Linked DNA regions of Mus musculus. The protein of the gene in region 2 interacts with the protein of the main gene of each other region in a biochemical or structural test. Links are inferred from orthologs where the notes say so. Each region holds a gene or a part of one and is shown on either strand. Other genes may lie near its edges.

Region 1 (15,084 bases), on a different chromosome or scaffold from region 2:
ATTCATATGGTGGGAGGAGAAAACTGATTTCCAAATCTGACCGTCATACATGCTTGCTGTGGAGAGTGCGTGCATATATGTGTGCACGCTACACACACACACACACACACACACACACACACACACACACACACACACACACATAACTAGATAGAGCAATCAATCAGTCAATAAATAATCAATCAATTTTTTTTTTCACGGAAGATTCCAGGGTGGTGATATTAAAAAAAAAATGTACCTGATTCTAGAACTCTTTTTAGCAATGTTTAAGTCGAGCCAGGGAAGTGGAAGCTGAAAACCTTGAGAAGGATCGGACTGAATTAGAGGACCTGAGACTAGTACCTCAGCTATAACATTGACTTGTTTTGGGACCTTGAACAGATCATTGATCAACTCTGAGTTATCCTTATCTTGATAATGGAGACAATCACACCCATTTCACGATGTTAATGTAGAAGCTTATCAAAGTGAGAAGTGTGAAGAAGGCACCTGACTTCTGTGTGTGTTTGCATCCGAGGGCATGCGTGCACGTGCATGTGTGGACATGTCTGCCTTATCTTTTGAGGCTAGATCTCTTACTGAACCTGGAGTTCATTAATTCAGCCGGGCTGGCTGATCATTGAGTTCCAGGAACCTGCAGGTCTCTGATCCCCAAGTGGGCCACCATGGCCAGATTTAACACAGGTGCTAGGGACCGGAACGTAGGTCCTCCTGTTTGCTTGGTCATCACTTTACTAACCAAATTCATATCCCCAGTTCCCAGGTGACTTCTTTAAAGAATGGGTACGAAGGGAAATGAAGAGTTGGCTCAGTGGTTAAGAGCACTTGCTGTTGAGGGTCCAGGTTTAGTTCCTAGCATACACATGGCAGTTTATAGCTGTCTGTCACTCTGGTTCCAGAGGCTCTGACCCCCCTCTTCTACTTTCCACATATGTGGCAGCAGGCACATATGTGGTGCCCACACACACACACACGCAGACAAAACTCACTCGTATATACAAAATTATAGGAATCTAACAAGGCAGATCTGTTTTTCCTCACCTGTTTTCTCCCTGTTCTTTCCAGCACCGGCTATGCGACCACAGGCTACACACAGCCGGTGGCTACAGTGGGAACATCTCCAGTGGGTGTTGAAGAGTCCGTGGTGGCATCGACTGCAGCAATGTGGAATGCCTGGGCTGTCCTCTGTCATGGCTGGCCCCTGGCCTGTTGACCACAGAACAGAACAGGGTCAGAGGGCTCAAGCACACAGCCCCCTTGGGGAGATCGCACATAGCAGGGTTCTCAACCTGTGGGTTACAACCCCTTTGAGGGTCAAACGACCCTTTCACAAGAGTTACGTATTAGCTATCCTGGATGTCAGATATTTACATTACAATGTATAACAGCAGCAAAATTACAGTTATGAAGTAGCAACAAAAATAATGTTTTGATTGGGGGTCACCCCAACATGAGATGTTGTATTAAGGGGCATTAGGAAGGGTGAGAACCTCTGAGCATAGGGGAGGCAGGGAGCAATGTCTACCCAGAACCACTGGGAGAAAGGAGCTGGGCTCCTTGGCCATTCCTCATACTTCACTCAAGTCTTGTCTGGCAGTAGCCACCCTCTTAGGGACATGCACTCCTAGGGCAGCAGTGGCCTCAGTGGCCTCGGCCAGCCCCACCCCCTAGCCTTGCCCAGCGGATTTCCCCAGTGTGCCTGTATGTGAAGTTCCTGGCCACGTCACCTTCATCTTCCCATGGTCTTTTCAGCCAGGAGCACCATAGTCATCCTGTGTCTGTGGGTTGTTTTCCTGAGTGGGAATGAGCTCTGGGAGGGCCATACCTATTCCTGAGAAACTGAGTCCCTACCACTTCCAGCACATTTTCCCATTCACCTCCCCAGCCTCAAGCCCCACTGCTACCAAAAATGGAAAGGCTAAGCAGCTACTCAGATGGCCTTTCCTTTAAGTCCAGGGGACTTAGTAGATTAGAAAAGGAAACCCTAAGAGGCCACCCCTACCCTTACCCAAAGGAGTGGGGTTTTGTTGTTGTTGTTGTTTTTAAGAGCCAAAGTTCATGGTTGACCATGGTTGCACACACCCAGGACACCCAATCATGTCCCAAGTAGGCACAAACGACTCAGTTTCTCAGGAATAGGTATGGCCCTCCCAGAGCTCATTCCCACTCAGGAAAACAACTCACAGACACAAGGATGACTGTGGTGCTCCTGGCTGAAAAGACCATGGGAAGATGAAGGTGACGTGGCCAGGAACTTTACAAGTGGCCCCAAAGGATGAGTAAGCTCTTATCCATCAGATGGGAAGGGATGGCCAGGGTATTCCAGACTGAAGAAATAGCTAGTGCCAAGGCCCCAGGGGGCAGTCAAGCTTGATGATCCGGGAAGGGAAGGATGGTGATGTGTGTCAGGAATCCAGGCTGGGAGTGGCTGGCTCATGGCTCAACAAACTAGGGGCTTCCCTCTCTGGAGTGGGATGGTGACACTGGTTATCTCCATGAAAGGAGTGACATGTGGGACCAGGGCTGTGTTTCACGAAGTTCACACCATTGCTAGAAAGGGCTGCAGAGGGGTGGCCAGGATCTGAGGACCCAGCGGAAGGTCCTTGACCCTCAGCCTGAATCCCATCAACTTCTGAGGCCCATGAGCCTCACCACTCTAGAGACCTTCCTTGCCCTTAACCTCTCTGGAGTCGCCTCACCTCCCAGGCTCTTGAGACACTTGCACTGGCTGTTTCCTCCATAAGCCCAGTTGTTCTTAGAGAACTAGACTGGACCAAGTCTTTAGACTCCCCAGGAGGCCAGAAACCTCAGGATTGACCAAGAGTCCGTGCTAGGGATAGCTAGGAACAAAGAAGGACGGAGCTCTCCTGAGTAGGCCTGGGAACCCCAAAGCACTGGTAAACGTGGGTTGGGAGGGACATGCAGGAGCAGGCCCACAAGGGAAATTGGCTCACCTTCTCGCTGTGCCCAGGCAAGGGCCTCCCGCTCCTTCCGCAGCAGGCGGCAGAGTCGGTCCCCCAAACCACTCAGCAGGTGCTTGGCCAGGCCCTTGTTGAGTGAAGCTTCTGGGCCAGGCCCTCCTCCTCCTTCTTCGGAAGTGGCAGAGGAATCCTCCTCCTCCAACTGCTTCTCCTCCAGGGGTGACCTGGAAATGGATGAAGCTTGAGGAGGGAGCCCCTGGGTGGGGATGGAGTGCTGCTGGCTCTGACTGTCAGACACAACACTCACCTACGTGATTTCTGGGAGTGGCCGGTCAGTACCCCTACCTCTCCAGCTGCCTGGACACAGCTTTGGCACTGGGTGACACCTGCTAAGTGATGCTGGCAGGATGTATCCACAAGTCTGGACTCCTGGAGCCTAATCCTGCCATCTCGGGGCCCTGGGGAGACAATACAGTTGCTTAGGGAGTCTGGTTTCTGGGGCTTATGCTAGTCAAAGCCCTGAATTAACACCCACCCTTGTCCACATGCAGCCAATTCAGCCCCTGGACCCCAGGCTTGTGAGGACCAATTCAGAACCCGAAAGAGGATCAGTCCAGTATATTTCACACACAAAGCTGAGCAGTAGCTGGAGATGTCCCTGGTAGGAATGGAGGCTCAGGGGTTGTTTAGCATGTTCAGCCCAAGTCTCTAGGAAGCCTGAGCAATGGTCCTTGTACACGTGCAGAATCCAGCCAGTATAGACTTTGGGTAGGTCAGCTAAAGGCTAAGTGGCTATGTGACACTGTGAGATGATTCCAACGTGGACGGATGGGCAGTCGGAGGGCTCCAGAAAGGGAGAAGGTCAGTTTCGACACAGAACACAGGTGCTGTAACCCAAGACAGCAGAGGGGCCAACAACTTCCCAGTCCAGACTGAGGCACAAAAGGGTACAGACAGACCCACACCAGGTGCAGGGGCTTTAGGGGCCAGGTCACAGAGACCTGGGTCCAGCAGCCCAAGAGGCTGAGAATAAGGTGATCCTGCAGAAACCAGTCTGGCTCCAGGATTGCTGGAACCCTCCGTGACAGACACAGTGTAGCAGAAGAGTCCACGATGTACCCAAAAGGCTGTCCTGCTGCAAAGTCCAAATTGAGTCTCTATGATTCAGCTGGCCAAAAGATGCTGCCAGTGGTCCTTCAGGAGAGGTAATGCCTAAACTAGGATCTGTGGCACAAATCACCGTGGCATTGGACACTTATTGTTTGCTAAGTGCCATGAGTTCTTCAGCGTCCCCATGAGCCATTTGGTCCTTCCTGTTGTCTTCATAAGGTAGGAAGCACCTTTGTTCCCACTGTATAGATGAGGGAGCTGAGGTTCTCAGAGGTGAAGTCATGTTCTCCAGGTCACAAGTACTGATTAGCATGCCAGGAAGCAGCTATGTCTCCAGAACCCCTGCTCTGGACCGTGGCGTCGCCTTGCCTATAACTCACCAAGAGGCAGGCAGAGATGGAAGCCCCTGGCTAGAAGGCTGTGGTAGCCAACACTAAGAGCCAGAAAACTGTGTTGCTTCAGGAATAAAACCTTCCACCATCTTAGTATGACCCATTGCAGAGGCCTACGGACTCCCTTATAAAGACCCAGCCCTGCTGCATTTCAACAGGGCCCCTGCAGCCCATCACCCCCTTACCTCTCTGTTCCTCTTGTTGCTCTGCCTCCGCCTTGCTTCCTATGATTGTCTCCGGTGTCTCCTGCCAAGCCCTGGCCCCCTGCCTCCCAGTGCCTGGGAAAGGGTGGGATGGGCGTTTGGGAGCTGGGCCCCTTGATGCTCCTTGGACCTCTGGACTGCCTGCCCTCTTGAGTGCCCGGAGCCCAGTGGCTGGGCTCTCTTCCTTCCCTGAACAGCCACCTGGGCACTCAAACTGTTCCGAGTGGCGTGTGAGCCAGGTCTTTTTCAGCTTGGTGTGATGGCTTGGGGGACAGGCCCTGGAATCAGCTTTGTTCCTTTCTTCACTGGATTCCCCTGGCCCACTGCTACCTCCCTCTGGGCTATCCTGGCATTTCCTACAAGGGCCAAGATCCCCCTCTCTGGCAGGTAGATGGGATGAGCAACAGCCCCCTGGAGGGGTAGGAGGCCCAGGAGATGGGCACCTTGGTGTGGCTGGTGGTCCTAGTTGGTACCCAAGGCTATTACTTCCTGGCCCAGCCCAAATGTTGCCAAGACTGTGAACCAGGCCTGGGGGACAAGAAGGCCAGGGGGCCCGAGGAACAGTGTCTGGGTACCCCAAGAAAACTGGGCAAAGATTCTGCTGCCTGCCAGCTCCTGTCTCCCCATCCCTCTGGTGAAGTGAGGGGCCTTCTGATTCACAGGCTTGCTGGAGATGCCCACCAGGGGCTAAGCCCAACATCCCAGACTCTGCCAAGGGCTCCTTTGCTGGCCTGAGGATGTTCGGATCCTTGTGGTAAAAGCCCTAAAAGAGGAGAAAGGATTAAGCTAGTGTAGGTTCTCTACACTTAAAAGAGCAAACAGGACTGACAATAGTCACTAGTGAATTAGACTGTAAGTGGTACCACCCACTATCCCCTCCCCCAAATCTTCTCCCAAGCTTTCCAGAGGCTGAATGGCTAACACTTGGCATGACCAAAGGACCTCAGGACCTCCTAGAGAATTCTGTGCTTTGACCCTCGTGTCCTTTTGCCTGTTTTGCTTTTGGAGAGAGACTAGCACGGACCTCACAATCCTGCCTCAGTCTCCTGGGTACTGAGGTTACAGGCATGCACTCTCATGCCCATCTTTGACTTCCAACCATTTAAAAACCTGGTTCTAGGCATGTGAGGTGGCCTGTCAGGAAGGAGCCCCAGAAACAGACCACGAGGACGACACATCTCACTCATGCCTGGCCCCTCATGATAAGGCCACACATTTCACGGGCAGAGTTTCTAAGGCCTGATCCTGGGTGAACTATGGGTGAGTCAGTGGTTGCAGAGGCCCAAGGGCAGGGCAGGGAAGAGGCACGGAGACAGAGCTGCCCAGTGTTTGGTTGTCTTCAGGGCTAGGGACAATTGAACCCCATGCACCCACTGTATTTCGTCACTCACCTTGCTGCCTAAGCCAAAGGCAGAGGGCACTTTTGGCTGGCTCCCAGAGTATACCCATGGGTTTGGGGCCAAAGGCCAGTCATATGGACGCTCTGGGGGCAGGCTGGACATCAGGTAGGGAGGCAAGCAGGTAGGAACCCAGAAGGGAGCTCGCTCTAGAATCTTGGTCTCCAGCAGGAAAGGGCAGTGCAAGGGCCGGAAGGCCACAGGGTCACTCTTGGGATGGCCACCACTATGCTCAGGTATCAGGGGCCCATAGCGAGGTGGGCATGCCGGCCCACAAAAGGCCAGTGGATGGGCCAGCATCGCTTCCTTCCAGCGCAGTCCTTCCTTGCCGCCTAGCCAGCTGCCCTTCCTCTCCCCGTTCCGAGGACCCTCACCCTCCACCAGTGAGAGTGTGTCCTTGGGGCCTTGGAGGAAGCCAGGAGGGAGCCAGGAGTCTGGGGTGCTCAGAACACCCCTCCAAAAGGGAGCAGGTTCTCCTAGGCACAGTGCCCCATGGCGCAAGCCATCCTGTGGTGAGGTACCAGGCTCCTGTCCCACAATGCCGTTCACAGGGGCTGTCTTCTCCCAGGCTGGGGTGTCCTTCAGGAAGCTGGGCATACTCTCCATCACTCTCCTGCCCTCATGGGCCTCTCCCGGGGAGGGGGGTCCTGGAGGGTAAGGACAAAGCATGAGCCCCTTAGGCAAATGGCCCATGTATCTCAACCATGGGCACCACCCTGGGAATACCAAAGTGGCTCAAACCAGTAAAGCAAGTGTCAGGCCACAGCAGGGCACAAAGCAGCCTTCCACAGGTGGCCAAAAGGATTCTGCTTCATGGCCGGAAGTTGATACCTTTTCCTAAATTCTGGCCCCTATCTGAATGTGTGTGTGTGTGTGGGGGGGGGGTGTCCAAATTCAATAGAAGGGTGTCACTTCCAGGGTGAAAGGCTCTGCCCATGTGGAGCTAGGAATCTAGTTACAAGTCTTGGAAACTGATAGAAAGCAAGACTGCAAAAGGTTAGCTCAGTAGAAGACACTCAGCTGCGAGGACAGGGAGACTGACTGGATCCTGGCCCTGACTGTGTCACCTGCTATTCGGATGTCCAGCAGGTCATTTTCTCCTCTGGGTTTCAGTGTACCCGGATGTAAAAGAGGAACTCAGAGGATTCTTTCTAAACGCCAGTCTGTGGTTTTTGGGGTGCTGCTTGCCCGCTCCCATCTTCAGCCCCCACTAGGCTTGCAAGACTGGGATGTTCAGACCCGACAGGCTCGAGTCACTGGGCAGGGCAGCTAGCCAGGGCTGCTGGCTGGTGTCTCCCTACCCCTGGGCTGTCTGAATCTGCCCTTCATGGGCTCTAGTTTCTTGGCATCTTCAAAGAGTACCGGGACAACTACTGGGGGCTAGGATCTCTGCTCCCAATGGGAGTCAGCATGTGAGAAGGGATTAAGAGGTTTCAGACTAGGGTGGGTCGAGCTGCCCAAGCCCGACGGCAGTGCCAGGGCACCGCTGCTAACTGAAGCCCGGAGGGGGGAGGGAAGGAGGCGGGGAAAGCAGGCTGGGCCCCAGAGAGACGCAAGCGAGGGAAAATTGAACACGCTTGCTAGGGACCAGGATGACAGGTGGCACCAGATCAGCTGTAGTCTCCTGAAGTAGTCCCCATGGCCGGACAGAGGAAACTCCAAGAGGGATGGATGTACGTGAGCCTTGGCGGAGGCGCCAAGAATTTTTGGAGCTGCAGCTTGCATTCAGTCCAGCCCCCTTAGTTGGGCATCCTAACTTTTCCATGTTAAGATGTAAGGTTCAGTTCAGAGTGACACCGGCACTTCACTCCCTGCCTGCACCTTGGGATCAGCTCATAAACTCCCCCATTACAATTAGCCCAGAACGCGCTCCCTCTTGGCGCTTACCTGGGCTTCACAGGCCGGGCGCGGTGTGGGCGGCGGTCGTGCTAGCCGGTGCTGGGTACTCGCTCCCCATGGGCCGGCTTCGGGGCGTTCTCCCGCTTTCTGCTCAGCGCTCTCGCGCTCTCTTTCCCCCCGGGCGTCGGGGGCGCTCTAGGGCCGCAGGTTGGAGGGGTCGGACTCCGGAATTTGCAGGATGCGGCACACGGCGCGGATGGGCCGCACCAGCTTCTGGGCCAAGGCTGTGGGTTGCGCCATGGGACGCCGAGACTCCGTGCTGCGCTTTGGGGAGGGTCGAGCCGGGGCTAGGGAGCGGGTGTCCCCGGAGGGAGAGAAGGATCCGGGCCGGGGGGAACGCGCGCCCCGGGTCGGAGATGGCTGAGTGGGGGGAAAGGCCGAGGGGCCGGGGAAGGGGGTCGTGCCTGGAAGTGGGGGGCCGATCCTGTGAGCCAGGAGCGAGGCACCAGCGAGGGCGCAGCACCGCGTAGCGCGGCTAATGGAGGGAGAGCGCAGCGGAGAGCGCAGCAGGACCTCTGATCGCCATCGCCAGACGCGCAACTGAGAGTGGGGAAGCTGCTCCGCCGGTTTCCTCCTCCAGCACCCTGCGGGAAACAGGAGCCCGTGATTCGGCGGCCCCGCCTGGGCCTGCCCCCTTCTGAGCCCCGGGGGCTTCCGCCAACGCCCCGGCGATGCCACCGGCTGCGCACGGGGAGAATGAGCCCTTTGTTCCCCCCTCCCCCCCGCGGCACCCGGGCGCCTGCCGAGAGAGGCTCCCCTGGGGCAGTGTGCCAGCTTCCCAGCCGCCCCACCCTCCCGTGGGCCCGGCCCGGAGCCTGGCAGGCGGGCAGCACCCCCACTATAGGTGCCAAGCCCGGGAACTGGAGCAAAGGGCGGGAGGGGCCGGACCAGGCCAGGATGAGGCGGGGTGCCCCCCGGGGTGCTAGGGCGGGGCGGCAGGGAGGGGTCAGTGCCAGAGCTGGCAGGGGCAGTCGGGTTCTCACGGGTCAGTGATGGGTGCTGCGACCCACGCCAGCAGGCCCGTGCCTGCTGGACCACTCTCTCCCTGTCCTTTTCAGCTCTGGGCACACCCCAATGGCTGGTGTCTTCCCTACCTCATTCTTCATCATCACCTGGCTAAGCCACTCTTCATAGTGTCGGGGCCCAAGACCCTACCCAGCATCCCTCTCTGGGCACAATGTTACAAAGCACTATGCTTTGGAATCTGGGAGGGCCTGACCTGATATCTGGTCTGTTCCCTGGTCTAAGCGCCTTGATTTCTACCAAGTGTCCAGAGAGGTGAAGGGACCAGAAGCACACAAGCATTGCAAGCTCCACTTGGGGTTGCCTGCTGGGCTGCCCCATCTTCAATGTTCTTGGTGCTCTCAGGCCCAGCCTGGAGAGGAGCCCATGGGAGTGGCTCCTGGGAGGGAACATTGAGTAGGAGAGGAAATGGGCAAACAGGGCACCCTCCACCCGAGGAAGCATCCCTGCTCTTCTGCGGGGGTGGTTCCAGAGCACACACACAAACAGACAGACAGATTCAGACACACACAGAAACCCACACGCCCAACGGGTGCTTCCCTTCTCTAAAAGCACCCACCTTCTGCCCCTCTACTCCCCTGCCTCCGAGCCCAGGCTGAAACAGAAGCAACACCACTTACTCTCACTCCCACCCCCCACTGCTGTGGAAGGAATGGATTTGGGTGGCCACAGCCTGGTCCCAAGTCCCTCCACCATCTCTGAAGTTGAGGGGTATCATGAAGAGCCCAATGTCTTTCACTTAAGGGACAGGAGTGAAGGCAAGGAGCTTTTCACCAATTGTTAAGACCAGGATAGGTACTTGGGGGAGGAGGTCTGTCCTTCCATCCTAGCTGCCTGCTCCGACTTGGGCCTTGTTGATACAGATCCTCCTTGCTCCTCTCCTTCACAGAGACCAAGTCTGTGGTGGGCAGGCTGGCAGGGGTTGTTTACATGGCTGGGGTTTTCATACTCCTTTTCTTATCCACTCCTTTGGAGGTGACCTGACCTTAGTTTGCTGAGGGAGCGGAATGAGGAGGGTCTAACAGGGACTGGAGCAGCAGGGGGTCTAGCCTGACCTCTGGCTCCTGGCTCCAGGGCAGGGTGGTGGGGTGGCACGTGCCTGTGGTCCCCATCTAAGTTCCCTGGCCTACCTTAGCAGAGGCTTGTGGGAGAGTCTTGTGGCTTGAGGCCTGGTAGTGGCCAGAGTGGAACCCGGGGCTGTCCTGAGTCCTGGGGGCTTGTGGCTGTCTTCCCCTAAGGTGATAGGGACTGTGTCAGGGGAGCTGAACAGATACCCACCCCCGCACCTCCAGTCGCCATATCTGCCTGTCAGATTATATTGCCTGGGCTAGACCAGAGCTCTCAGGACAGTCTTCTGGAATGCTTAGGGGTTAGTGGAGATGAAGGTGAGGAGAAGTACTGCCCTCACTCCACCACGTTCCCCATCCTTGCCTTAGAGCCTATGCCACAGGCCAGAGTCCTTGCAGCTGGCTGTGCTGTGCCTGAGGATGGAGCAGAGCTGAGGACATACACAAAAGACACAAACACGGGGGAGGGCGCTCGTGGGGGGGGGGAAGCCACCCAGTGTGTGGTCACAAGACCAGATCATGGACCTGGCAAACTTACTAGCACCCCCAGACTCACATGGGCCCAGCCCTCACCCACCCCGACCCCTCACAAACTGACACACATGCTGACACACACTCGTTGCTGACAGGCACAGACTCTCTGACAGCCGGCTGCCCTTTCTCCACCCCAGAGACCCTTACCTGGGCAAGCACAGTACCCCTCAGGCAGAGTAGCCCCCTGCCCAGGGGTGGGCAGCAGGCAGGGCGGGGGAAGGAGCCCCGGAGAGTCAGGCCAAGCTGCCACTAATCCGGGCGGGGAGAGGGGGGGCACCCACGTCAGAGCGGGGACTGCCGGGTGGAGGGCATCTGAGGACATCCCCTCCCACACACGCGGCCGTCTGGGCACCTAGCCCTGCTTCCCCAGCCCCTCCATCCTTCAGACAGCTGAAGCTGGCCTCCCCCTACCCCACCCCCACCCCTGTGGCCATGCTTGGGGTGGGGGGGCATGGGGAAGGGGGATACAGGGCGAAGAAATCTCCCAGGACCAGGGGGAGGGGACAGGGAAGGGAAGTGTGGAGATGCTGCGGGAGCCAGGAGGAAGCTTGGGGTAGATGCTGTCCTTTCTGCTCGCTCGCCCACCCACCCACATCCTTGACCTAATTCCTCTTCTGGAGCCCTTCCTCTCTCTAGCCCTCCCCCACTGCCATCTAGCCTGCGTTGTGTTCCAGGCTGAACTTGGGACCTGTGTGTGCAACGATGCCAGCTCTGCCCCCAGGATCCCCCAACCCTAGGAACCAGCGGTGAAGGTCGCTTGTTAGTGGGCACCAATCTCAGATGCTGGGTGAGAAATGGGGATGTGAACCTGAACAGTTACCCCCTGGAGCTCCTCCAGTGCCTGCCAGGACCCCTAACTCAGCCTGGGCTAGGGCTGCATGTGTGGGACCCAGAGGCTTAGGATGCTGCTGGGAGTGGCAGCTAAAAATAAAGCCACAGGATCCTGTGTGCTGTGACAGAATCCAGAGAAGGGGAAAGTGACCAGGCTAATGAAGGGCCACAGGTCAGAGGGACAGTGATGGAGTCAGAGGCAGAGGGTTAAAAAAGGATGGCAAGAGGTGAAGTGGAGAGAGAAAGGACTGTGAGAGGAAGTCCCGGCTGTCATGGTAACAGGCCAGGAAGAGTAGGAAAAGCTGAGGAGTGGGGGTGGGACCAGAACTCACAGAAGGTATGTGCTAGGGACTGGTCTCTGGTGTCAGGTCCTTTTCCAACCTTGATCCTATCTGGGGAGGAGACCAGGCACACTGGTCTCAAGTAGAAAGTTGGTGGTCCTTGGAAAGTAGGAACAAGACCAGATGCCCTCCCTTTAAGAGGCCAGGCCAGAGCATCAGTGGTGGTCCAGGGCTCTTTTCCAGGGGAGGATAGTGTTGGGTGAAGGTGTGTTTGGGTAGTTCTCAGAGCTGTTCTGAGGGATGTCCAGGTTGCTACCCAGTGCCCCAAGTCTTGGCTCACATTTATGCTTGCCCAGAAATGCCTACCACCTGGACCTTCTACACATTTGTTTTTCTGTGGCCTCAGGATGCTTAGTAACCATGTGATTTTACCCAGCCATTCACCAAGCCATACCAGAGACACTGGTGTTTTGAAAGCTGTGTGGTGGAACTAAGGTGACACGGCACAGCCACCAAAGCAAAAGTTCACTCCCACCCTGAAGAGGTTTAAGATGTTTGATGTATGTGTTGGTTTAGTCACAATCCTCTTTCAGGCTTCGGATGGGTGTCAGGCCTTGAGCTGAGGCTGGGAGCCACAGTTAGAGATATGACCGTGGTGACAAGTGACTCCACGACTTCTAATCCTATGCTGGGGAGTGAGAGAGGCTTCTCAGAGGAAGGGGTGACGTTTCAGTGCAGAAGTTAGACACTAAGCAGGATTTCACCAACAAATCACACAGTTATAAAAATATCACACCTTGGTTCAACCATGTAGTCTGGGATACAACAGTAAAAATAAGGCTGAAGTCTCTCCGTGAGTGGCTAGGCAAGGCAGAGGCATGCGCGCAGAGGGTTCTGAGACAGGTGTATGAGTTGGAGTAGGAGAACAAAGCAGGCCGGGGGAGGGCAGAGGTGGGCTCTGCAGAGCCAGGGCACAGTGGCTTCAGCAGTCCTCCCAGGAGGACCAAGTGACTTTGCCCACCTCTCGGGCAGCACCTCTATAGAGGAGAAAGCCGTTTCACCTGTAAGATGGACAACAGGCCCTTTGCGAAGATTCAAAGAAACCAGCTCTGAAATGCTCAGCACAAGGTCAGGCGAGCAACAAATATCCCACACATGCCAGACTCCTTCTCCCTGCCCCTGCCCCCAGGCAAGGAACAGCCCATTTACTGAATAGTGATTAAGAACATCAACTCTGGAGCCAGACTGCCTGGTCCAAAGCCCAATCCTGCCACTTACTAGCTAGTCCACCTTGGGCAAATCATTTGCCCTTTGTGTGCCTGTTTGGGAAATGGGGATCATAGTAATAGCGGCTACTTCCTTGTCTCCTCACCCCTACAGTTCCTAGCAACACATCTTTTGGGTGAAGTAATGAGGCAGTAAGAGTCAGCATCACATACAGAGGGGATGCCATAGAGAAAAGCCACTGAACCCCAGTCCATGCCAGGCTAAATCAGCCACACAGATTAAGTGCCTTCCCCTCCAATAAAACCCAGATAATCCCTACACCAAGAGTTAATCCTCACAGGACACTCCAATTTAGCAGCTCATAGTTTTCCTCCAACCAGCACTCTTGACTCCGAAGTGGGAAGGAAGGACAGATGGGGTGGGAGGAGGGAGGACCCTGGGTACAACGTGCCTCCTACTTTAGGGGCAGATGACCCAGGGATCAAAGGAGATGGATTAAAGTCAACCCAGGGCAAGCGCCTGGGTCTCTATGGATGGAGAAGGCAAGCATCAGACAAGGGCTATCATTGGCTATCATCATTCCTTTGGCCTGCCCCATCAGCATCCAGGCCCCAGCAGGGTGAGGCGTTGGCTCGTCTCTGAGCCCCGCCCACTTTGACCTGGAAGGTGGGGGCAGCCTGGCCCTAGGCAGCTGCTGCCCTCTTGTGGCTTAGAGTGCAAATTCACCCTAATCGTATCTGAATGTCTACAGGAAGAGTTCACTGAACTGTGGCTCCTCTAGGTTCATGGAAGACCTAGCCTGCCTCCTCAGGTTTGCTCTGTACAGTTTCTATAGGCTCCCCATCTCTTTGCCTCTTCCTGTAAGTACTGATTCCCGACTGACCCTTCAAGATCAGTCTGACTCTTTGTTTTTTGTTTTTTGAGACAGGGTCTCTCTAGTCCTAGCTGATCTGGAACTGGCTATGTAAACCATGCTGGACTCACAGAAATCCTCCTGCCCTCTCCCCCTCAACCATGTTGGAATCAAAGGCTTGTGCCAATACACCAGGCTCTACCCTAACTCCACAAGGATCCCTAGGAGCAACTGTAAGAATACTGCTGCTGGGATGGGGCACAGAGATCTTCCAGCAGTCTCTACACCCTTTGCCAGAGCCTGCAGTGAGTTGTTAGCTACAATATGAGATGTGAAGAGACAAATTAGGAGAGGCCAAACACTGTTTGGTATTTATTTATATAAAAATATTCATAAGCCTGACCTCACTCACCAACACGAAACATGCAGCTAGTGTACGTAAACACACACACACACACACACACACACACACACCAGGCCTTGGAAAAGGCTGTCAAGTATTTTGAAGGACAAGAAGGAATGAACACAGCTGGTTGGACTTTTGGTTTCGTCGGTAGGGACTGGTGGGGCTCTGGTCCCGTGTCTGAGAAAGTAAAAGGCAGAGGAAGGCAATAAATAGGCCCCAGGCCTGGGCTGCTTTGGTATAGTGAATGTCTCCCTGTGCAGGGTACCACGCCATGTGCCATTTAGGCACAAGCCAGACGGAGCAGAACCCCGGTAGCTGGTGTAGCAGCGAAAGGTCCCCTGCTGGCTCCAGAGGTAAGGTGGCCTCAATCTGCAGACTCTAGCTGTCCATGTCTGAGGGCATGGCCTTTTTCCGGGTTCGGACCTTCAGGGAGCGTGAGGTGCCCTTGGGAAGAGAAAGCCAGTATACCTTGAGTGGTGTGGGCACTGCAGCTCCATCCACACCCCCCTCATGCCGTCCTTCCAACACACTTACCTCTCGAGTCAATGGCTTCCTCTTGACCACCCGAAGGCTCTGGCTGCGGCCTAGAGGCTTCTCTCGGGGCCGAACAGGTGGCTGGGGGACGATCTCATTGTCTGACCAACACTCATCCTCTGTGTCACTGCCCTGCAGGCCGCCTGGCCGGTATCCTGCCAAAGAGAGGCCCGCAGGGCAAAGCTGAGCACTTATACAAGCCTAGGGTCACGCCCAGCTTGCCTCTAGTCCTCAGAGAGGTCAGCTCCCCCTCTTTCCACTTACCAATAGGGGGTCTACGTCGGGGTACCTGGTCTTCCAGGTAGAGGGGATCTTGGTAGGTGGGGACAGGGGTGTCAGGGATAGAGCGCAGGTCTTGCATAGAGAAACTCCGCAGCCTTCCAGCTAGAGCGCCTTGACTCTAGGA
Region 2 (14,882 bases):
GTAGGTATTGCACGAACATCTAGTGTAGTCTCGGTGCTAACATTAGACTCTGGGATGAGCTAAAGTGTGGTGAGATTTTAGTAAGCATGCAGACGTGGGGTCAATCCCTCATCCGTTGCTGACGGAAGGCCAGAAACTTAAGACTTTGGCCATACTTAGAGGTCAGGCACAGAGGTCTCAGGATGCCTGGCCCACCTGTCCACAGTGACTCAGACAAGCACCCCCACCAGCCAGAAACCAGGGCCATGACAATACCACCGTAGCTAAAAGTGGCTGCATAAACTTGTCTAGAACAATTCTGTCATTTTGGAGATGAAGTCGATATTGAGTATTGAAAACCAGGGGGGAAAAAGGGACCTTCTATTCACAACCAAAGGGAGAAGTTCGAGGTCTGTCTGTCTGTTTGTCTGTTTGTCTGTCTGTTTGTTTGTTTGTTTGTTTGTTTGTTTTTAATATCAACTCCAAACGTGGGATCCTGCGTGGACCAGTGATGCCTTTAGATGAAGCAGGAAGCAACCATATTATCATTTCACAGTAGCCCTGAACTGAAAACAACGCAGAGGTCTGTCCACAAGAGGGAGGACACACAACGTGTGGCATTTTAACAACGGAACGCTCGATCGCAGCGTTAACTAATGTGTGTCAGTGTGGAAGAGCACGTGGGTCCCGTGAAAAGGCATGTGACAGAGAATGGTGTGTAAACAGCCCCGACGCCATGCGACCCAGCACCGTACACTGTCTCAAAAACACACGTGGAAACTTAGAAAAGAAAGCAAGGAATAACAAACCCAAAGTTACCTCACCCTAGGGAATGACGAGAGGGCTCTGGTAACCAGGGCAAGACCAAGTAAGTGCTGGTTAAGAGACTGTATAGTCTGGGGAGAAGGCACAGTTGGTAAAGTGCTTGCTCTCCCCAAAGCAGGAAGACCTAGTTTGATCTCTGAGTGTCTGCGAGTTGTAATCCAAAGTGGGAGATGCAGACAGACAGAACCCTGAGGCTCACTGCCAGTCTAACTTAATTGAGGAGCCCCAGGACTGGATGGAGTCCCTAAGGTTAACACCAAAAGTTGTCCTCTGGTCTACACGCCTACACACACACACACACACACACACACACACACACACACACTCACACACACACACACACACACATACACACACTCTCATACACACACACACACACAAACACACACACACACAAACACACACACACGCATGCACACATTAAATCTTTTCACATTATTGATTGATTGATTGATTGTGTGCGTGTGTGTTCACCACAACAACATAGATGTGGACTGCAGAGGACACTTGTGGTAATGCATCGTCCCCCTTCTGTCATATGGATTCTGGGGACTGAACTCAGCTTGTCAGTCCTGGTAGCAAGTGCCTTTACCCCGTGATCCTTCTTGTCAGCCGAGACACGCATATACTTTAAAAAGTAAATGCTCTACTCCTAACTTGGGTGGTTAGTATAGTTGCATACCATCTGTAAACATGTTATATATACTCTTGAATGATATTATTTCTCAATTAAAACAAAACAAAACAAAACACAAAAGACGATTGAAAAGCTCGGCGATGCTCCCAGGTTCCTTGTCTCACGCTTGGCAGAATGAGAAACCAGTTTACCACATCTGCATTCAACCATTCCTGAGGTCCCACAGGATCTCTCACAATGAGTTTCTGTGCTATCAATTTGGATTGTTGTTGTTTTATATCCCGGCCTCGATTTCCCCTCTTTCCTCTCCTCCCATGTGCTATCAACTTAGAAACATTCATTATAACCTTTCTTTTACTGTTAAATTCCCGGTGCCTTAGCCCATGTCCACCGAGCAACTGTAGGAGCTTTTCAGAAGTCTACTCTGCCAGGCACTTGACTTTCCACTGTTAGTTCTCAGTAATTCTGCAGCTTGGCTATGATGGCCCTCAGTTTACTGATAATGAAACAGGAATTTGGAGGGATTAAGAAATTTCCCCCCCCCCATGGGTCCCACACAACTGGAACAGGGGCGATCCCAAAGGCTGTTGCCTATATTATACATGGGATATGTTCTTCTAGCTTGGCTGCCTTCAGTGGGAGAGGAAGTGCCAAGCCTAACAGAGAATACCCAGGGGACCCCCACCTGCTCAGAGAAGGGGATGGGGGTGGAGGGAGGATTGTAGGAGGAGGTGAGGGGTGGGGGGGAAGTGAGTGGGATGTAAAGTGACTAAGTAAAAAAAATTAAATTAGAAAAAAATAAAAAAGAAATTTGCCTCCAAAGTCATTAACTAGAATGTGACCAATTCACAATTCTGCCTCTATTTCTCCTGCCCTTCCCAGCTGCTAGCCCAGCCTCAAAGCCTCCTGCGTGCTGGAGGACACTGTTGCCTGTTAATGTCAAAGGTAAGCGAGTTAATGAGCTCAGGAACTCAGCACAGGGCCTGACTGGAGATCTCAGAACAGGCTGGAGTCCATTTCTCCAGGCACGAAAGCTCTCGGGGGTCAGGAGCCTCAGAGAGTCAGTGGGAGCAGGGTGGGGCCAGATAAGGAAGAACAGCACAGATGAGCTGATGGGACAGTGGCCTCTTTAACCTGTTCACCTAGCACTCCACAGCTGTTTGAAACGGAAAGAGGATTCCTTCTACCCTTCCGGGGCACCTGAGTATCGCCGAATTCTGTGCAATTTTTGCATGACGCTAAGTTTCTTTGATGCTTCTGAAATGGGATTTGTATCTAAGACCAGGACAGAGGCACAGAAGTCGGAAGGAGACTTCTGAGACACTACCATCCCCTGAACAACCTTTGACCCAGGGAACTTAATGCTCAGGTCAGCTTGTTCAAACTAGTGAGTGAATCTGACCCCACAGCTCACACACACTGATTACGAGCCTATAACACGGAAGCCAACGGCACTAAGTGTCTGCGACTTTACTGGGAACGCAGAAATGTAGAGTTCCTGGGAGTAACTACTGTAATTTCAGCAGTCCTGACTCTCTGTCTTCACGTTGCAACTCTGCTAAGCCTCAGTTTTTCCATTTGTAGAATGGGCACAGGAATTCTTCCTTCTTAACACGAAAGACCAGGAGGCTGTACCTACTAAGCACATAGCATCGGGTATCTAGGGCCCAGTGGGCCACTGTTCCTAGAGTTATGGTTTCAGCACCAGCAGGTGGCACACACTAGTCCTGTCACCAGCAAAGACTTGAGAGCTCCATAGTGTCTGGAATGTCACACCATGCAGAATACCTTAAAGGTTCGGCTTGGCATTGGAAGAGCAGCGAGAAGCAGTAGCTTCCCGGGAACGGGAGCTTGGTGCTGCCCAAACTCTACTTTCCCGCTGGTACAGCTGCCTACACCCTGCTAACGACAGGACCCTCCCCTGTGCAGAATGAAGACTTTGTGCGGCATCTGGTTCTGAGAACACTGCTTACTTTATTCTTTGGCACGAGACCTGCAGGGCAGGTTCACAGAAGCGTGGCACACACTGAGACTCTCACAGCGCCCTCTGCTTCTTCCTCTAGCTTCTGCTGTTTGCCCACTAGCCACCCTGCCCTCCCCTAGCCAGCTCAGTAGGGAGGGGGGGTTCTCACCACCTCCCCACTCTGTACAGGCAGGCAGGACTTGCCAAGAGGTCCCTCTCCCTCTTTTCATTAATAGTGATGAGAAAGAATGACTTCCGGCTTGCCAGAGTAAACAGTCACCCCACAGTCATGGAGGCTCCCCTCCCCTGTGTCCTACGCCCTAATCACTCACACACTCGGCCTCTGGGGACTCTCCAGAGAGGATGCCCTGAGTATCTGAACCACGAGGCCCAGGACTCAAAGGGAGGGCAGTTTCTCTTCCACATGTCACTACCATAGGATGAGGTCGCTGCCACCAACACCTATAGCTTAGGTTGAGCAAGATGTGTCTGTCCCACCCTGAGCCATTTCTCCAACAATCAGAGACAGGAAGCTCTAATGCTAGCATCCAAGGGTGGCAGTTCTATGCCCGACTTGGTAGCTTTGCCCCAGCTCTGCTTCCTGTCTTGACTGTCATTTTCCTGGATCTTGATTCTAGTTGACCTGTGCCCTTTATCTACAAGGATGAGATCTGAATGCCCTTCCCTTCCTGGTTGTCTACTCTCATTAGAGAGGGACTTCTTTTGGACATGGGAGAGTCCCCAGAGGTCTGGGAAGCTGGAGGGACCAAGAAAGCAGCTATAGGAAACAGGAAAGAGGAAGCATGCGGCCAACTCTTAGTTTAACTCTATCCCAGTTCCCTTGGGGAAGCTAAAGAAGAGCTGGCAGGTCTTCTTGTCCCTTTCTGAGCTGCCGTGGCACAGGAAAAACCAAAGGTAAGGGCAGGATAAGGACAAGCAAAGGACAAAAGAAAGTCATTTCAGCGGTAGGCTGAGTCTGGAGATGAGGTGTCCAGGGGCGTTGCTACCCTTAAGGAAGGCCTGGGATTGGCTGACCAGGCCAGGGATTGGCTGACCAGGCCAGGGATTGGCTGACCAGGCCAGAGAGTGGGCTGAGGTGTTGTGATTGCCCTTGGGATCAGGCTGCCCCACGTTCACCTCAGCCTCAAGTCTCTCCCGACCCTCTTGTCCCTTTATCACTCCGAGTGACCTCTCCTGGGTTTGGATGGTAAGGTATCCAGCTTACTCTGGTTTGGGTTTATGTCTTGGCATAGCCACACACAAAACCCCCTTCACTCACTCATGAGAAACCCAGTTTAGATAATAAATCATAAGTCGCTCTGTGCGTGCGTGTGTGTGTGTGTGTGTGTGTGTGTGTGTGTGTGTGTGTGTGTTCATCGGGCAATGACATGAAGCAATGTTAAGGACAAACAGGAGAGAAGTGTAATTAAAAGTGAGGTCCTGGTAGTCGAAAGCTGCTGCCAGGCTGGCTGCAGCCCAGTCAGAGCCTCCCGAACTGAAGAGCAATGGAAGACAGTGCCAGGGCTGCTGTCCCTTCTGGAGGTTGATTTGGAGGCTGAATCGAGTCAAACAGATCTGCTTTGCTGGCATCTCTTGGGACAGGGGGCTGCCACCATGCTGGGACACACAGAAGGCTCTCAGTCGAATATGGCCATGTCCTTATTCCCTCTACCTGCACCCCAAATGAATTCACAACAGTGGCAAGCAGAAGCCCACGATCCAACTACAAATTAGATCCTGGCACCCCAGCCTTGCTTAGCTGCTGTGTAGACGGTAGGAGCCAAGAGGCTGATCTCAGACAATTTCTAAGATATAGGATGCAACACTCAACAGCAGCATTCTCCTGTCTTGGGTGACTTCTCGGTCTACCTATTTAGACCCTAGGCCTTCCTCTACTGAAAGCCTAGGATTTGCACATCTACAATCTGTGCTTACGGCAGAGGGCCAGGGGGTCTCTAGGGGCTTCCCAGGGGATTCAGTCCCTCCAAGAGATCAGTTCAGAGGTGGGCGGGGGAGGGAGACTAATAGATCATGTTATAAATAAGTAGAGCCCAACGCACCAGGGCCGCTAGAGTATACGCAGACTTATGACTGTGCCTGGAGAAGAGTGGGGGTCGGCTAAGCTGCCCCACTTTCTTCCTTTCTCTCCTTTCCCTTCTCTATCTTGGTCAGGAAGCAAATCACAGTTGACCAGGAGTACTGACTGGGGATTCCTACTTTTTGCAGTTTGAAGCAATGTCCCTGTTGTCCTCCCTGTGTCCCTCACACAAGGTAGAAAAGGCTACGGGTCACCTATTTCTGCTCAAGGGGTCTCTAGTATCCAAAACAAAGGCAGACACTTTCACTCCTACTGTCTCCTGTTCTGGCTGCACACACTATTCTCTCCAGTCTTCAGCTAGAGAAGGAATAGAGATGGCCCCCAAATATAAAAACCCTTAGTTTACAGAGTTGACGGTCCTGGGTCCAGACAACTGCTCTCTGCCCCTCAGAAGTCCACTCTTCCTCCCTAGCCTGGGGAGAGCATTCCTTGCATTTTCTGCTCCCTCGGCCTTCTGATTTCTCCTGCATGCCTGCCTTACGGGACAAGATGGGTACCTGACAAGGTAGAAATGGAACCAGTGCCTGGTAACTCCACAGTACTGGGATGTGCCTCTAGTTCTTAAGAATAGGAAGAGGTGAGGATTTACCACAAAGCCACTGTCTCTTCGTGGCCATCTCCTGGAATCATCCCTTGCCCATCAGCCTTTGCTGACATTCCCCCCCCCCCCACCTCCTGTGTCATGAAGAAGATGGCTTTCCTCGGGGCATCGAGGCAGACCTGAACTCTGTCCAAGGGAACATTTGCAATGCCCAGAAAATGCCTGCCCAACTGCTTGCCTAGGCTCTGGCCCCTCTTACCGCTGCTGGGCCCAGACAGGAGGCTGACTCATTCACCACAAAGAGGAGGAGGAGGAGAAGGAGGAGGAGGAAGAGGAGGAGGAGCAGAAGGAGGAGGAACAGCAGGAGGAGGAGGGTTGCTCAGACTCAGAGAGCCAAGGCTCCCAGAGCCCAGGCAGATTCAGCCTCAGGTAGGGGATAGTCATAGTGGAGACAGTGGACTTGGAGATCACACGCAGATCCTACCTAGATTCGCCTCTTGCATCCAAGTCCCTTCACTCTCCAAACAGAAACTAGTCCTTAAAACCCCTTTCTCAATTTCCACGCTCACCCTCGAGTCCCTCTGGACATCTGTGGACAGGCTCTCCTGAAAGAGAAACCTAGCACACTGGTCTCAAAGCACCGGCGGTTTTAGAAAGGCAAGCACAAAAGGAAAAAACTCCATATAAAAGATTCCACTCCACTATCACTGGTGATCACACATGGCTCCGCGAAGTAATAAACAGGCTCTACACACTCCACCTCCAGAGACCTTAGCACCATCGACAGCCAATCACTCCCTTCTTACTCCTCCACTCCAAGTCAAAGCGCCCGTCCCAGGAAAGAAACAAACGCTTCTTGTTGTCCAGCGCTGAGCACCCTCCTAGCTAAGGACTCCCACGCTGAGCCGCCTGAGCATCGCGGAGGTGGCTGTCCCCTCGCCAGCCTCGTACGAACTTCAGCTTTCTCAGACTTGGGTGCCCTCTCAGAGTCCCAACCTCATGGCACCACAGCCCGGATCTCAGTCGCCAACTTTGCTTTCCGAGTCTTGGACTCTAGCGCTTGCACCCGAACGCTGAGACCTCTAGATCCCAGACGCCTGCCCCGGGTCTAACCACTCACCCAGAACCCCCTTCCCCCTGCACCCCGATCCGCACCTGGTCTGGCGGTGGACACACAGCTCGGCGCTTCCCGTGCTTAGGGCTCGGCAGCAGCTTTTTGACAAGCAGAGACTGCTCAGCACCTGGCCCCGCCCCCGCAAGGCCCCGCCCCCGGACCGCCCTGCCCCTCAACCACGCCCACTAAGTTCAGTCCTCTGAAGCCCTGAAACTTTCTTGACTTGGAATCAACCACTGCACTGTCGCCTTGGAGGCCCTGCCTTGTGAGGGGCTCCAGGACCGCCAGCCACAGTGCAGCACAGGCGTCTGCCTTCCGTGGAACAGTATTTGATGATGTCGTGTGTGCAAATCCACGTTTCTGCCTGTGATGATCCGTGATGTAGCCACCACCCACCCCTGCCGCCGTGGTTCTACCCAATCTGCTGTAAACGCCTCCCCCAGGTGTGTCACCCGTACCTGAGTTGACCCGGGACCCCGACGCCCGCGGCGCGCTGCAGGGAGCCGTTCTCTGCGCGCGCCGGATGGGGAACCTCAGGTGAGTTTCTCCTGCAGGGCGCTCAGCCGGACTCTACTGGTTAGGATTAGCCCAAGAAAACCAGATTGGAGGTTGGAGTTGCGTCCTCTCTCCTACCTGACGTTCTTCTGCTAACTACACCGACGGAGCATGTTCCTGGCTAATTGCATCTCATTCCAGCAAGCCTTGCTGTAGCTTCTGAGGTCTCTGCCTCCCAGATCATCCCTTGCCACCGAGACCCTGGTGTGAAGGAAAGGCACAAAGTTCACCTCAAGACCTGGAACTGTGCATGGCTCCTGAGAACTCATTGTAGAAAAATTTGGATAAAGATTACTCTACTCACACGCTCCGTGCTCCGCAGTCTATAGGGGTCCCTTTTTTGAGTAGGAGATGTATGCATAAATAAACATAAGGGTGTTCTAGAATACAGATACCCCCAATGTCACTGGACAGTTGGTGACCTCCTGTAGTTAGGAAAGATAATGTTTAGGAGGCTCAGTGGGGACAGGGAGGTGGAGAACCCAGTGATTTGCACAGACCAAGCCGTGGACCAGTGGAGGATGAGAGCCCAGCCTGGCGGTTAGTGCACTTCTCATTCCTCACACAGAGGTGTTAGAGTGGAAGAAATACTGCCCCTTCCAGCTCTTGCTGACTGTCCCCAAGAAACCAACGGAGGCTAAATAGAAGAAAGAGCTTCCAGACAGTGGGGTCTGAGGGGAAGCTGTGAGGAGCTCTTTAAGAGACGGTAGTGGAAACATTCTGGGAAGGCTTCAACGTTTTCAGAAAACATGTGACACATGGTGTTTAAACTCAATGAATGAATGGAAGAGGCCTTTTGGGAGCCCTCCCAGGCTGGTGTTTATTCTAAATGAAAAAAGAAATCATTTATTCTAAATGAAAGAATCACTTTCTAGAACATCAGGGGAAAGCTGACTCTCTCAAGAAGAAAAGCACAGGAGGGAGTCTCAACAGCCAACACCTTAGGGCATTTTGAAATCCCCCCCCCCACCCCCAACCCCCCCAACCCCCCCAACCCCCCCCCCCGTGAGCCTCTGCAGGAGGCGATGGAAGATGTGCACCTACATAAGCCATACTGACCTTACTGGGAATCTTTTTCACAGCCGTGAGCTGGAAGTTCACATAGGGTAGCATGTTCTCTGGATGTTTTATTCAACCTTCATGTCAATCTTTCAAGACAGAGCAGCAAAAACTCCGCCCCCCCCCATCTTAAAACTTGGCATTTTTGCAGCTGGGCAATGACAGAACCACTTGAACCCCGTCTTCTTTATGACTGACCTCCATCATTTCACACTGCCTCTCAAAAAAAAAAAAATCCCAAGTAATTTTCACCTATTGGATCACAGTCTAGAAAAACCAACCATGTGAGGAGAGGGGCAAAGAGATAGCTTGGCCATTAAAAGCACTGTCTGCTCTTCCAGAGGACCAGGGTTCAATTCCCAATACCTACCTGGCAGCTCACAACTGTCTGTAACTCTTGTTCCAGGGGATCCAACACCCTCACACAGACATCCATTCAATCAAGTCATCAATGTACATAAAATAAAAATAAATAAATGAATAGATAGATAGATAGATAGATAGATAGATAGATAGATAGATAGATAGATAGATACATGCCCTTGGTGTTAATTAAAGAAAAAAAACAGCCAGGAAGAAGTCAGATGTGCTAGGTTTGTCAAGGTTCTAGGTGTCCTTGCTGTGTTTAACACACTCCGTGATTGGCCCAATAACCACACCCCTAGTGATGTCCTCCGAGACTCCCCCAATTCCCGGACCACCTCCTCTCACCTGGCTCTCCAGACTCTAGTCTCCTCCTTGTCTCTGTCCATCAAACCCTTTCCACCATCTCCCGGCAACAATGAGCCGCTGTAGTATATGTTCCTCTAGCCCAGGGTTTCTCACCTTCTAACAAGATACTTTGTATTTATGTTGAATAAGAATTTGTTCTACCCCCAGCTTTGTTCTCAGAAAAGTAACTTTGTAACAGTGGGAAAAGCAAGATTTCTTTCCCCCTCTCTTCTTCTAGAAAGAAGGTCATTGTCTCCTGACCTCACACATACCTGGGTAGGTCCTGGAAGGAAGGCTACATTCTCAGACTTTCTTTCCTGGAAGCCTTGAGAACAGACAACATTCTCTGGGAACTCTACTTCAGAACTAGTAGCTTTAAATTACTTTAGAGGCAGGTGGATCTATGAGTTTCAGGCCAGCCTGGTCTTAGAGTGAGTTCCAGGATGGGGAGGGATACACAGAGAAATCTTGTCTCAAAACAGAAAACAAAATTCCTCTAGATTGTTGCAGGACCCATGTGCCAGATCCTCTGTGTAAAGTATGAATTTTCTTTTTTCTTTTTCTCTCTAAATATACCATTCTCTATTGTCCTTAGAAGGGTGGTGTTGGTCACTTGGTCAGATTGTCTCTGTTCTGTATTTATCTCTGATCAGTTTTACCAGAAACTACCTAGGAATTCTGTAACTCGGCCATTTAAAAAAAAAAAAGATTTATTTATTTTATGTATGAGTACACCGTAGCTGTCTTCAGACCCACCAGAAGAGGACATCAGAGCCCATTACAGATGGTTGTGAGCCACCATGTGGTTGCTGGGAATTGAACTCAGGACCTCTGGAAGAGCAGTTGGTGCTCTTAACCACTGAACCATCTCTCCAGTCCCTAACTCAGCCATTTGTATATTAGCAAATAACCCCTGCCAGGGACATGCTCTTTGCAGGAGGGACTTCAGGGCTTGGAACCGCCTTGTGCATCCCATAAGGCAAAGCCTCGTCTCTGGTCATTTCTACTAGGCCCTGGGTGTCTATGGGTGGTGTGGGCAGATGTGGCCTGTCGTCAGCCTATGAGACCCCCTTTCCTGCATCCTGGGCAATAATGTCTCAGAGATTGGCTGGCCCTCTCTGAGTTCCTGGCCATGATGTAAGATCCCAAGCAAATCCCTTTGTCTCTGACATTCCCACAGACCCTGTGCTTATGACAGAGGGGTTTCCCTGATAAAAGAGTGGTGCCTTTTGTGCTCTCAATGGACTGCTTCCCTCTGACCATTTGCTTGTTCCCATCCTTGGTCTTTTTCCTCCTCTGTAATATTTTATTGTTATGGGCATGTGAAAAGACAGACAGCAAACAGATGCCAGAAGAAGATGCCCCGAGAGCCACGGAGCTGCAGGGTCATGGTGGCAGAAGGGACCAAATCTTCTCGCTTAGCTCCTCCTTTAGACGCTTTTATGAAATTAAAAGTTTGGAAAGGTTAACTCAGCCGTCTTTTAGGACAAAAGGGATCTGGGACCGTTCGTGTTTGTGTTCAGATGATGCAGATGAAATGAATAAATGGAGGCGCTGCACGCAGAGAAAGCAATTGCACCAAAAGGGCTCTTCCAGGGCAATGGCTTCCAAACGCCAGCGGCTAGCTAGCAAAGACGCACATCCATCATGACCCAGACTGCATGCAGAAACGTTCTCATGAAGCAAGAGCTACACTGAAGTGGGTTCTCTCTGGGTAAGAGAAAGAAAGAAAGAAAGAAAGAAAGAAAGAAAGAAAGAAAGAAAGAAAGGAAGGAAGGAAGGAAGGAAGGAAGAAAGAAAGAAAGAAAGAAAGAAAGAAAGAAAGAAAGAAAGAAAGAAAGAAAGAAAGAAAATTTTTTTAAAAAGTAAAGGTGTGACAGCCCCTAGGTATTGTGGAGGAGGAGGCTTATTGTAGATAAAAGGGAGAGCATAGCGAGAGGCAGGCACCTCTGGGATAGTCCAGAGTGGACATGACCTTGAGCTATGGAGAGGGGTGAAGGAAGGGAGGGGAAGGGAGGGGAAGAAGGAAGAGGGGGGAAGGGAGAGGGGAGGAGAACCACCAACCAAGAGGTGCAGCCTAGGCCAAGAGGATGGGCAAGAGGAGGGTAAACTTAGATTAAAATGTCTGGATTATATAGGGAAGGGTAGCCCAGCCCCTGGACAGAAGAAGTTTAATGTAGGTAGGAGGTAGGGCATGCCTGCTATACCATATAACAGGTAGGGACTGAGGAATGCTGGGAGAACCTGGTGGCCAGGTCTGTTTGACATGTTAATGCATTAATTAGGTTTGAGACCCCCCCCAATCTCTTTCTCTTACTCTCCCTCTCTCCCTTTCTAGATCTCTACATTCTAGCTCCCTCCTCCCTCTAGCTCTCTGTCTCTCTCTCTCTGTCTCTCTTTCTGTCTCTGTCTCTGTCTCTGTCATCTCTCTCTCTCTCTCTCTCTCTCTCTCTCTCTCTCTCACACACACACACACACACACACACACACACACACACACACAAACACACACACTCACACACAGACACAGACACAGACACAGACTAGATTGTAGCCTCCAATCAGGATTTGTTTGAGTTTGCCTTTCTGAGTTCAGCACACCATGGGACACCTTCCCAAGAGCCTGGAACCTGAGCTGAGAGACCAACACAGAATGCCAGAAGCACCATCAAGAATCCCACAGTGGGGCTGGTGAGGCGGCTCATTGGTTAAGAGCACTGACTGCCCTTCCAAAGGTCTTGAGTTCAAATCCCAGCACCCACATGGTGGCTCACAACCATCCTTTAGGAGATGTGATGCCCTCTTCTGGAGTATCTGAAGACAGCTACAGTGTACTTACATATAATAAATAAATAAATTAAAAAAAAAAAAGAATTCCACAGGGGCTCCATGGTGGCATTGGAACTTTGGGGATTTCTTTTCCTATGGTGAACATGAGGTCCCTGAGACAACCTGTGTCTACCAAGGTTTGCTTTCGTGGCCTTAAGTCAAGTGTTACCTGACCACTGTCTTGAGTTTTCTAGCCTTCCAGCCTCGGGCAGCCTATGGCATCTCAGGCATCCTGGCTTGTCCAGCATAGGCCAGCTCTGAGGAGAGTCAAGAGTGAGAGCCACAGACCCCACCTGCTCTAGAAACAGTCAGGTGCTGCCAGGTAGCCTCTGGCTCTAAATCCTTCTGGCTCCACGGCTCCATTCCCAGCAGCCCAGCTCATGTCTTATCCTTGAGGGGTTTGGGCATCTGTTTATCATCTGTTCCCACATCCTCCAGTCCAGGTTGCCTGCCAATCCATTGGCCCGCACACAGTGTCAGTTGGCATGTCCTGGGGGAGTCAGATGGGGAAGTGCAGACTTCTACCTGGATCTCCAAGCAGAGGCAGCGTGGAGCTCTCCCAACCTCCAGGTATTTGCTAGGCTCCTGTCCAAATCTGCAGCAGACAATGATGACACTTCTCCAACCCCCGTAGTCAACCATTAATACTGTTGGAGTAAGTCATAGGCTCAGAACCTATGACTTACTCCTTTCCCATCCAGTTACTGTCTGAGCGGTTTTTTGTTGTTGTTGTTTTGTTTTGTTTTTTTGCAAGGATCATGAGTAAGTAGTCTTGCAGAAGGTGAAGAGAATCGCACTTACAACCCATCTGGGAATTTCTAGTTTGTTCCTCTGAGGAAGAAGGTCTTGTGGAAGAGCCAAGTGATGGAGGTAAGAGGAGAGGCTCTGTGGTTTAGGAATGACACAGATGACAACGGAGTTACGTTACTGTCATAGTGCTGCCAGAGAATTTAGCAGGGGAAAGCTGGCTGCCTTCTAAAATCCCTCCTTGTATAAAGCAGTGTCTCCAGGGAGGGTGGTTGGGCAACCATCTCCCTTCCTTCAAACCAGTGAGCAGAAGCCCTGTAGCCCAGGTCCTGACCACGCCTACGTGTTTCTTCAGAACAGAGAGGACATTCCGTCAGCAGCCCAGGAATGCGTTAAACATCTCTCCCCTGGGGCCCCGACTCCAGAAAGATGTGTCCGTTGACAGCTCCTCTTTGGCCTTCAGCCTGGGATAAGCACACCACAAATCCTGGCTGCCCCCCTCTGAAGTGCTCACTTCATTGTTCTTAGCTGTCAAAGACGTCAGCATGGTTAGAGCTTGTGTGTCTGCTGTCCACGCCCCTTTCCAGCTGGAGTTATTGTGGGTAGGGTGGCAGAGATGTCTTGTGCTGTGCACTGTCGGGGTGTCCTGCCACCGAGAAGTGACCTCAAGATGCTTTCATTGTGAAAACCGACTCACAAAAGAGAAACTGACATGTATGAGTGAAAAAAAAAAGAAATAAAAAAGGGAAGGACATGATTGCTCCTAGGTAGATATGGTGGAGGAGGACGATTATTGTAAACAAAGGGCAGAACATAGCCAGAAGCAGAGGCATCTGAGAGACTCCAGAGAGCACAGGACCCTGAGCCATGTGAAGAGGGCGGGGGAGGACAAGGGAGAGAGGAGAGCAGGTAATGAGGTGCATCAGCCTGGACACCCAAAAGAGTAAATGAAAAAGACTGGGTACCCAAATGGTTAGATTCTATTCTATAGGGAGGGAGAGCTGGGCAAGGGTAACCCAGCCCCTGAGCTGGAGAAGTTAAGGGTAGAGGATGTGATATGACAGCCAGGAGGGGGCTCAGTAAGAACCTGGCAGCCAGAACTGCTTTGATATGTTAAATAGGCACCTCAGCCACCGTTTGTCCTGGCTTTGAGACCTAACAGTGCTCATGCATAGACATCATTTTAAAATGATTACCATTAGCTAAAATCTCTAGTCACGCTATGGGTGGGACTCGTCAACAACAGTAGTGAATATCAGCTCAAACTTCAAATGATATTCTTGATACTTTCTGACCTTTGTCCTGACTCCTCTAGCATCTACTCTTTGCACCGAGATATTTCACAGAGCAGATTTGACGCTTGGCTCCTGGGTAAGAGGGCCAGAAGATGGTATTGATGTCTCTCTAACATTACCAACATATTAAAACTTGATTTCTTTTTTTTTTCCCAGTGATTTATTTTCCAGGAATTCAGGACTCGGGAGACAAAGCAGCAGGAGTTCGAGGCCATACTCAGAGAGTTGAAGACAGCTCAGGTCACACAAACCCTGTCTTAAACAAACCAACAAGGAAAACTCAAAAACAATTAAAAAAAAAAGTCAGACTATTGCCTCTCTGTGCATAGGGAAGCACACAGAGCATCTTCTCTTAGGGACCATTGCTTTAGAAAGGAGAGAGGTAGTGTCTGGATCCAGAAGTCTCTGCGTGTTAGACGTGCTGTCGAAGTTTTAGGCTTAGCGAGCTATCAAGCATTGACTTATCAGATGAGTCCGCTGTCTGACTTTTACACTGCTCTGCCCCTTGGCTCTGTGCTGCTTCTTGGGG

Evidence for each region.
Region 1: the proteins of Vdr (region 2) and Hr form a complex in vitro, tested with the Homo sapiens proteins (2 studies listed by BioGRID and IntAct). The link is inferred for Mus musculus from reciprocal best matches to the Homo sapiens genes VDR and HR.

Annotation. Positions count from the first base shown.
Region 1 is NC_000080.6:70,547,934-70,563,017, reverse strand, and holds the start of Hr (lysine-specific demethylase hairless), read right to left. Parts: upstream 8,785-15,084; 5' UTR 7,911-8,784; intron 6,671-7,910; 5' UTR 6,630-6,670; coding exon 6,018-6,629; intron 5,390-6,017; coding exon 4,609-5,389; intron 3,380-4,608; coding exon 3,229-3,379; intron 3,146-3,228; coding exon 2,955-3,145; intron 1,207-2,954; coding exon 1,042-1,206; intron 1-1,041. Other genes in the region: Reep4 (receptor expression-enhancing protein 4), read right to left, coding at 14,523-14,588, 14,679-14,833, 14,943-15,078. UniProt on the Homo sapiens protein: Histone demethylase that specifically demethylates both mono- and dimethylated 'Lys-9' of histone H3. May act as a transcription regulator controlling hair biology (via targeting of collagens), neural activity, and cell cycle.
Region 2 is NC_000081.6:97,901,037-97,915,918, forward strand, and holds the start of Vdr (vitamin D3 receptor), read right to left. Parts: upstream 7,261-14,882; 5' UTR 7,199-7,260; intron 1-7,198.